2 linked regions of the Arabidopsis thaliana genome follow. Each later gene encodes a partner of the first gene's protein in a complex. Each region holds a gene or a part of one and is shown in the gene's direction. Other genes may lie near its edges.

Region 1 (4,074 bases):
GAATATGACGATATCTTTGCAAGGCTCGGAGCGCTTCGTGCTCCCAGTCGACGCTGAATCTGCTCATCTTGTCCTTCTGTTCATATATATATTCTTTCACACGGAAAACAGTTCCCCTCATTCTTTACTCTGACTGAATTTGATATTCTTACACGTTATACAGATTGAAGTAGTGGTGTGATTCTGCTTGGTCTTGATTGGTTTTCCTTGTCTTTTTTTTTTTTGTGTGGATAAACAGAATAGAAAATAACTATTTGCGAAGAGAAAGATTTTATAATACCATTCGAAATGTTGTCATAATAGAAATAAATTTTGTTCTCTAATTCTCCATCTTGCTGAAACTGCAGTGCAAGAAAACAAACAAACAAACAAACAATGTCGAAAAAGCCAGACAAATGACATGTTATGGCAGGGTTTGACATATCAAAGTCCCTCCATCAGAGTTTCTTTCCGTATTGCAGTTCAATGAAAGAAACCAAGAACCTGACCACCCACATTCCGTTTAATAGCTTCTTCATGATCCAAAATGCCATCGGGAGTTGTAATCACTATATAACCCCACTGCATATAACAAATTAAAGAAGGTTTAAGTTACGATTAGTTGCATATTCAGAACTAGTGTAGAACCGAACCTGGCGCGTTGGAAGTGTGCGTTCTGTGTATTGCCCGATCTCATTTGCCTTAACGTCCTGCCTATAAGTGAGAGCTTTGCAATCATTAACCCTTCCTTGTAGATCAACAGTTATTCTTCCAACTCTGTGTGGATCATGGACTTGGAAGTTCTTGATGTACCCTATACATAATACATCAACATACATTTTGTAAAGTAATAGACAAAAAACTAGCTGATTCTGCGGTTTGAGCATAGAAATGGTATCTTTATACTTCAGTCACAAACTATCAACTTTGAAAAGAACTACTTCAAATTCCTAACTAAAAACATACAAAACACAGACGAAGATCGAAACAAACTTAAGTTAGACCATAAACTAAACAGGAGCAGATATGACTTTCTCCAACCATAGATCAAGATGTAACTTATCCATAAGAATCAAAAAACAGAAACTTTTCAATCTTCTGCAACTTCATAGTTAACCAAGAACAAAGCTTAATCATTGGGACCATGTTGTAACCAATCTCTTACATCGAGTGATCACACATGGAAATTCTTGAGCTATACGTGTTAGGATCAGCTCAAGGACCAACAAAACAATAGAGACTATGGATCATTAATCATACTTCACTACAAGCAAAAGTGACTAAAACCAATGTCGACGAAACTGATAAATCTAAACAAGTAGATGAAAAATTAGGGAAATGAATTAAGACCCAATTAGACCAGAAGAAAGAAGAAGTGAAAAATCTCACCTTTCTCTTTCATGATTTTGAGAAACGAAGACATTACGGTAGAGACAGGTTTCAACTCCACCGAAGCTTTCCCTCGCTTCTCAGCATTCACGATCGTTCTCAATGCATCGTTCAATATTCTCCTCCCCATTGATCGAAAATTCCGATTTCTAATACAAATTCTATAATCGAATGACAACGAATCAAAAAGAATCGATAACCCCTAAAGTTCAACAGAGCAGCAGGAAATGGGTTTATTCCAACGTTTCTCAGAATTGTGGGTATTTCGACATTTCGAAAAACATTAGGGGTATTTTAGACTTTTCACGTTCACTTACATGAGCTAGGGTTTTATTTTTTTCAGAGGTCATATATAAATAGCTCCATTCGTCTTCTAACAAAGCTCCGGCGCCACCATTAAAATCTCTCGATCTCTATCTGCGAAATTTCACGGTGAGCTTAGTATTACTCTCAATTGTTCTCAGTTCAGTATGTCTTGATTTTCGTAGCTTAGATGATCTGATTTTGTGTAGATATTTTGATTCAGCGAGCTCTATAGTAGTAGCCTTTAGGAATCGATCTGTTAATGTATGTGTTGTTGATTGGTAGTATCATTTTTGGTGTGGTGAAGGTAGGTATTTGAAATGGCGACAGTTCCAGGACAATTGATCTGGGAGATCGTGAAGAACAACAACTGTTTCTTGGTGAAGCAGTTCGGTAGAGGAAACTCTAAGGTTCAATTCAGCAAGGAGACTAACAACCTCACCAACGTTCACTCTTACAAGCACTCTGGTAAATTTGTACTCTTGTTTACGAGATTCTTTGTTTCTGAACGAAATGATATCTTGGCCATTTGAGAACAAATGATTACTTTACATCTCTGGTTGGTTGATTTAGTAGAATAGATTGGGAACTAAAGTTGTTAAGAAATGTTGATGTGTTAAGTGCTTTTGGTTCTATGAAAGATTGTGGATTCTCGACTATTAGATGATTGTGGTTGAAACTTGGCTGTTTGAGATCGTCTTTATGCACTATTTTATTGATTCTCGAGTATAAGCTTATTTTCTTATCTGTTGCAAGTTGACCGTGAAATGTAGTTTCTTTACATTTGACCATTTGAATCTGTATTACAATTGTGTATGTATCTTCTAATTTAAAGACAAAAATGGTAGTCTGAGTTGAGCAGACACTTCATACTATGTATTAGGTTTTGTTATTGTCTTGAATTAGGCTAAAGTTTGAATCTTTTGATGTGGTTTCAGGTCTTGCAAACAAAAAGACTGTGACCATCCAGGCCGCTGACAAGGACCAAGCTGTTGTGCTCGCCACCACCAAGACCAAGAAGCAGAACAAGCCTAAGCTCTCTGTCAACAAGTCTATCCTCAAGAAGGAATTCCCCAGGATGTCAAAGGCTGTTGCTAACCAGGTATTACTCAATTTTTATTACTTTAGTGTTTTTTATATGTCTATGGTGTGCTTATAGGTCTCTATATCTAGTTTTGTGTGTTATTTTCACGGCTATGATCTACAATTGGTTTTTATGTTCTTCCCTCTACCTGTGAGAGGAGAGTTAATATGTTATGGTAAAACGATATGATGCATAGCTGTGCAAAGATTAAAATTTAACTTCATATAAGGCTCCTTTTTGTGGCATATTGATGAAATATTAATTTTACACTTGGCTATTTTCATTGATCTGCTTAATGTTGCTGTTTATTGGTTTCATACGTGAATACAATCTAAACCAAATGATTGTGTAAATGTTTAGGTGGTGGACAACTACTACAGGCCGGACTTGAAGAAAGCTGCACTTGCTAGACTCAGCGCCATCAGCAAAGGTCTCAGGGTTGCCAAGTCCGGTGCCAAGCAAAGAAACAGACAAGCTTAAGCTTCTTCTTTCACAATCTGTTTTTTTTGAAGTAAAAGATTTTGTTGAACAGGTTTTATTTAAGTTGTTGCTTTGAAGTTGAACCATAATGCTATTCTCCTTTTTCATTATCCTTATTATAAAGGAGTTAGAAGTTTATCTTGTTATGCTTGATGTTTCTGGTGTGCTTGTGTTACATTTTGTTAGATCCTTTTATCGAATCAAGAACTTTCTTAAAATCTCTATTCTAGATTTTATTAGCAAATCAAATGTAATCAACAACCAAGTCCTTATATATTATGACTTTTGAAAGCCTAAATTGACTCAAAATAGCAAACATAAATGTTTAGATTTGTTGCATCAAATGTGATGTTCTTGTGGACTATAATGTTGACATTTTCATTAGATCCCATCAAAAACCAACTTGAGAATTCCATCTTAGCATGCTCTATACTTATCCAAAAGCCCATCAGGCCCATAGACGGCCCAACTTATAGCATACGGAAAGGTTTATATTAGGGTTTCTTAGACATGAATTAATTCTGTTCTCTTGCTGTGGCCGTCTCCAACACCATTTCGAAGACCAGGGAGATCGAAGCAAAATGGAGAAAGGAAAGGGAAGAAAGGAAGAGGTCGTGACCAGGGAGTACACTATCAATCTCCACAGGCGCCTCCATAGCTGGTAAAACCTAAAGCTTCAATACTTTTGACCTTATTTGCAATATCTCGTTTCCGTTTTGCTTAAGTTCGTTCTGGGCATAGAGTCTAATGATTAGACTAAAATTGCAACTTGTATTGATTCGAATTAGGTTTCTTGATGAATGAAAAGAGTTAGAATATTTGAATCTTTGTTGAAAATT
Region 2 (3,809 bases), on another chromosome or scaffold:
GTTTGGCTTGGTTTATCGTGGTGTGCTTAACGATGGCAGAAAAGTTGCTATCAAGCTCATGGATCATGCAGGAAAGCAAGGGGAAGAAGAATTCAAGATGGAGGTTTGATTATTTTTAGCTTACTCTTTGATCTTTATTTTTTCAAAGCTTATGCACATTTTGCTGTTTGCAGCGTTTTTGATTACTTGATTGATCAATTTTTTGTATCTGGTGCCAGGTTGAGTTACTGAGCCGTCTGCGTTCACCATACTTGTTGGCACTTCTTGGTTATTGCTCAGACAATAGTCATAAGCTGCTTGTGTATGAGTTCATGGCAAATGGTGGTCTGCAGGAACACCTGTATCTTCCCAACAGTAAGTTTCTTTTTCCAGTAGAGTTAGAAGTTGCTGCATGTTTGAAGTTGTCATCTGAAGACTCCAAATTTAGTCTATCTGTCTAGATGCTAACAATTTGAACATGAATCCTAGATAGTGTATAATAATTACGAATTGGTGAATATACGTCTGGAATTCTTGTTGGATTTGATAGAAAAATCTCTTTTTCTTGCATTTAGGGTCTGGTTCTGTCCCACCAAGATTAGATTGGGAAACTAGGATGAGAATAGCTGTGGAAGCTGCAAAAGGCTTGGAATATCTCCATGAACAAGTATCACCCCCGGTGATTCATAGAGACTTTAAGAGCAGCAATATTCTGCTGGACAGAAACTTCAATGCCAAAGTTTCAGATTTTGGATTGGCTAAAGTCGGATCAGATAAAGCTGGTGGACACGTTTCTACCCGTGTATTAGGCACACAAGGATATGTAGCTCCTGAGTATGTTTTTCACTCAATCATCTCTTTGTTCTTGTTTCCATCAGTTAACTTTGATAGGTTGGATACTAATACCAATATTTTCAATATCTTATGTCAGGTACGCTTTAACTGGTCACTTGACAACAAAGTCGGATGTCTATAGCTACGGTGTTGTCCTGTTAGAGTTACTAACCGGTAGAGTTCCAGTAGATATGAAGAGAGCTACAGGAGAAGGTGTTCTTGTCTCTTGGGTACGCGTTCCTTTCACAAACTGCTCTTGTGTCATTTCTTCTTGTCTTTGCTCTAATAACTTAACTTTTCCTATCTCCAGGCTTTGCCTCAATTGGCTGATAGAGACAAAGTAGTAGACATAATGGATCCAACACTCGAAGGACAATACTCTACGAAAGAAGTTGTTCAAGTTGCAGCAATAGCAGCAATGTGTGTTCAAGCAGAAGCTGACTACAGACCCTTAATGGCAGATGTGGTGCAGTCACTGGTTCCATTAGTGAGAAACCGTAGGTCAGCTTCAAAGCTTAGTGGCTGCTCTAGTAGCTTTAGCTTGGCTCGGTCTCCTAACTCTCCGGGTAAAGCAAGCATAGGTTCTCAATGAATAAATCAATCAGAGAAGACGAAATGTGAGGCTTTTATTATGTAACGGTATTTACTAAAACAGACAATGATGTAAACACTTGAGTGATCAAACATGGAGTCATAGAGATAATCATCAAATAAACTTTTTCGAATCTCTATGGGCTACTAGTTATTGGGCCAATCCTGACCCATTACTATATTCTACAGAGACGAGAATGATATTAGTTCATGAGAAAAAAGGTCACGTGAGGGAACGTGGGCTTGATGGAGAAAGGAGGGTACAATCGTCATTTTGAGTACTCGTAAAATTTGCTTAGAACCCTAGAAGGCTAATTAGAACTAGGGTTTATATAGTTTGCCGCTTCATCTCCGTTTCTTCTTTCCGATTCGTGTTTTCCCGTCGGCCGGAGATATATCGCAACCCTAATCCGAAATGGTCCGTCGCAGTTAACTCCTCTTCTTTGGTTTCACGTTTTTTGATGTTTCAAATAGAGATTTGATGATATATATTTTGGTTGAATTCAGGCGTCGGAGAAGAAGCTATCGAACCCAATGAGGGACATTAAAGTGCAGAAGCTGGTTCTCAACATCTCCGTTGGTGAGAGTGGAGATCGTCTCACCAGAGCCTCCAAGGTTTCACTTTTTTTTATCTGTTTTGTCTGGTTTTCATATCAACCCTGTGTGTATGCTCGATTTTAATGGAATTAGTTCTTCGATAACTTGGTAGGTGTTGGAACAATTGAGTGGTCAGACTCCTGTTTTCTCCAAGGGTAAGTTATTTTCTAAGTTGTATCAATTCATCGTTCGATCTCTGAGAAAATTTGCTGGAGATAGTTAGTGATCTCGACTAAAACAGGGGCACGATGCTTCTGAAGTTTAGGACGATGAGTTAGTTTTTTTGAAGGTCATTAGTTCTTACTTTTTGGTGTATGATTTTTAATTGTTACTGGCCTGGATCCATAGATAATCGTAGTGAGAATCAGTAGCTCTATCAATTGTTTTGTATCAATTGCTTGGAAGATGATTGTAACTTTGTTTTGGATGAAGAGAGTTTTGACATAAATCTTAACACTTGTTATCTCTTTTGCAGCTCGATACACTGTTCGTTCTTTTGGTATAAGACGTAATGAGAAGATTGCTTGCTATGTGACTGTCAGGGGAGAGAAGGCAATGCAGCTCCTTGAGAGTGGATTGAAAGTTAAAGAATACGAACTCTTGAGAAGGAACTTCAGCGACACTGGTTGCTTTGGTTTTGGTATTCAAGAGCACATTGATTTGGGTATCAAGTAAGTCTCATTCTTTCTAACACATACATAGAACAACTTTAGAGTGGCTTTTGTGTAACCAGTGATCAAACGTACGGGGTTTTTAAATATATATTTGATCTCAGGTATGATCCATCGACTGGAATCTACGGCATGGACTTCTATGTTGTTCTTGAGCGACCAGGTTACCGTGTTGCGCGCCGCAGAAGATGCAAGACTCGTGTTGGAATCCAGCATAGAGTGACGAAAGATGATGCCATGAAATGGTTCCAGGTGAAATATGAAGGAGTCATTCTCAACAAGTCTCAGAACATCACTGGTTAAACAAATGTGTCAAACAAATAGCTATCATCTGTTTTGTTTTTTTTGGGTTCAAATCGTATTTTCTCAGTTTTGTTTTGCTTCTCTGTTCTTCAGACATTTTGATTTTCCTTTATATATTTTGCGTATCTACTACTCCGACAAAAGCTGACTAAAGGTCTAAAACACATTTCCGAATTTTCGATACTCCGACAGGTAATGAACATTCTCTATATCTACATAACTCATCCCCAAACCGTAATTTTGTAAAATAACACTCTTAGTTCAACAATAATCGTTTGTGTTATGACTTATAATCGCATTCTGGTGTTATAGTTAATAACTGCGTTATAGTTTTTCATGAGGTAAAATGCATTTTTACATAAATTTTTAAACGAATCTTTGACTATGCGTCTATATGTTTAATATTTAGAAGACGTGTCAATTATATAATTACCCTGTGTACTTGTACATTATTTAACATAACAACAACTTCAAAAACATTATCCAATCATGTTTCATTGTCAATTCTCAGTTGCATCAGATTCGAGCGAATTATTGATTGGTTCGACATTAATTATCATGATCAGAAGTGACCAAATCAAACATATACATTACATACGTTTTGTGTGTGTAAACACGCGTTACATACATAAACTAATCAGAAAACCTATACAACCAGAAAATACAAGTTTTGGCTCCATTCTGACAGAAGAAGTTGGAGACAATAATGGAGTAATTAAACTAATAATTATGACACAGGCTTTTATAGTTTTATCTATTTATGATTTTACAATTTAATAAAGGACTGGAGGAATCTTGACTTGATCCCACACAGATTTATTATAAGCCATTTCC

What was found. The genes of interacting proteins can lie anywhere in the genome.
Region 2: AT2G19730 (region 1) and AT3G58700 share a complex: the UniProt entries of both Arabidopsis thaliana proteins name them as parts of the large ribosomal subunit.

Annotation. Positions count from the first base shown.
Region 1 is NC_003071.7:8,509,761-8,513,834, forward strand, and holds AT2G19730 (Ribosomal L28e protein family), read left to right. Parts: upstream 1-1,725; 5' UTR 1,726-1,800; exon of another isoform or gene 1,801-1,831; intron 1,832-1,978; exon of another isoform or gene 1,979-1,982; 5' UTR 1,983-1,991; coding exon 1,992-2,139; intron 2,140-2,609; coding exon 2,610-2,773; intron 2,774-3,115; coding exon 3,116-3,235; 3' UTR 3,236-3,531; downstream 3,532-4,074. Other genes in the region: AT2G19710 (Regulator of Vps4 activity in the MVB pathway protein), read left to right, coding at 1-57; rps15ab (ribosomal protein S15A B), read right to left, coding at 463-561, 633-793, 1,369-1,498; AT2G19740 (Ribosomal protein L31e family protein), read left to right, coding at 3,817-3,896. UniProt on the Arabidopsis thaliana protein: Component of the large ribosomal subunit. Essential in leaf polarity establishment, probably having a role for translation in leaf dorsoventral patterning to specify leaf adaxial identity.
Region 2 is NC_003074.8:21,709,842-21,713,650, forward strand, and holds AT3G58700 (Ribosomal L5P family protein), read left to right. Parts: upstream 1-1,603; 5' UTR 1,604-1,819; coding exon 1,820-1,822; intron 1,823-1,911; coding exon 1,912-2,019; intron 2,020-2,113; coding exon 2,114-2,156; intron 2,157-2,476; coding exon 2,477-2,672; intron 2,673-2,776; coding exon 2,777-2,975; 3' UTR 2,976-3,263; downstream 3,264-3,809. Other genes in the region: AT3G58690 (Protein kinase superfamily protein), read left to right, coding at 1-103, 219-354, 555-813, 911-1,043, 1,124-1,405. UniProt on the Arabidopsis thaliana protein: Component of the ribosome, a large ribonucleoprotein complex responsible for the synthesis of proteins in the cell.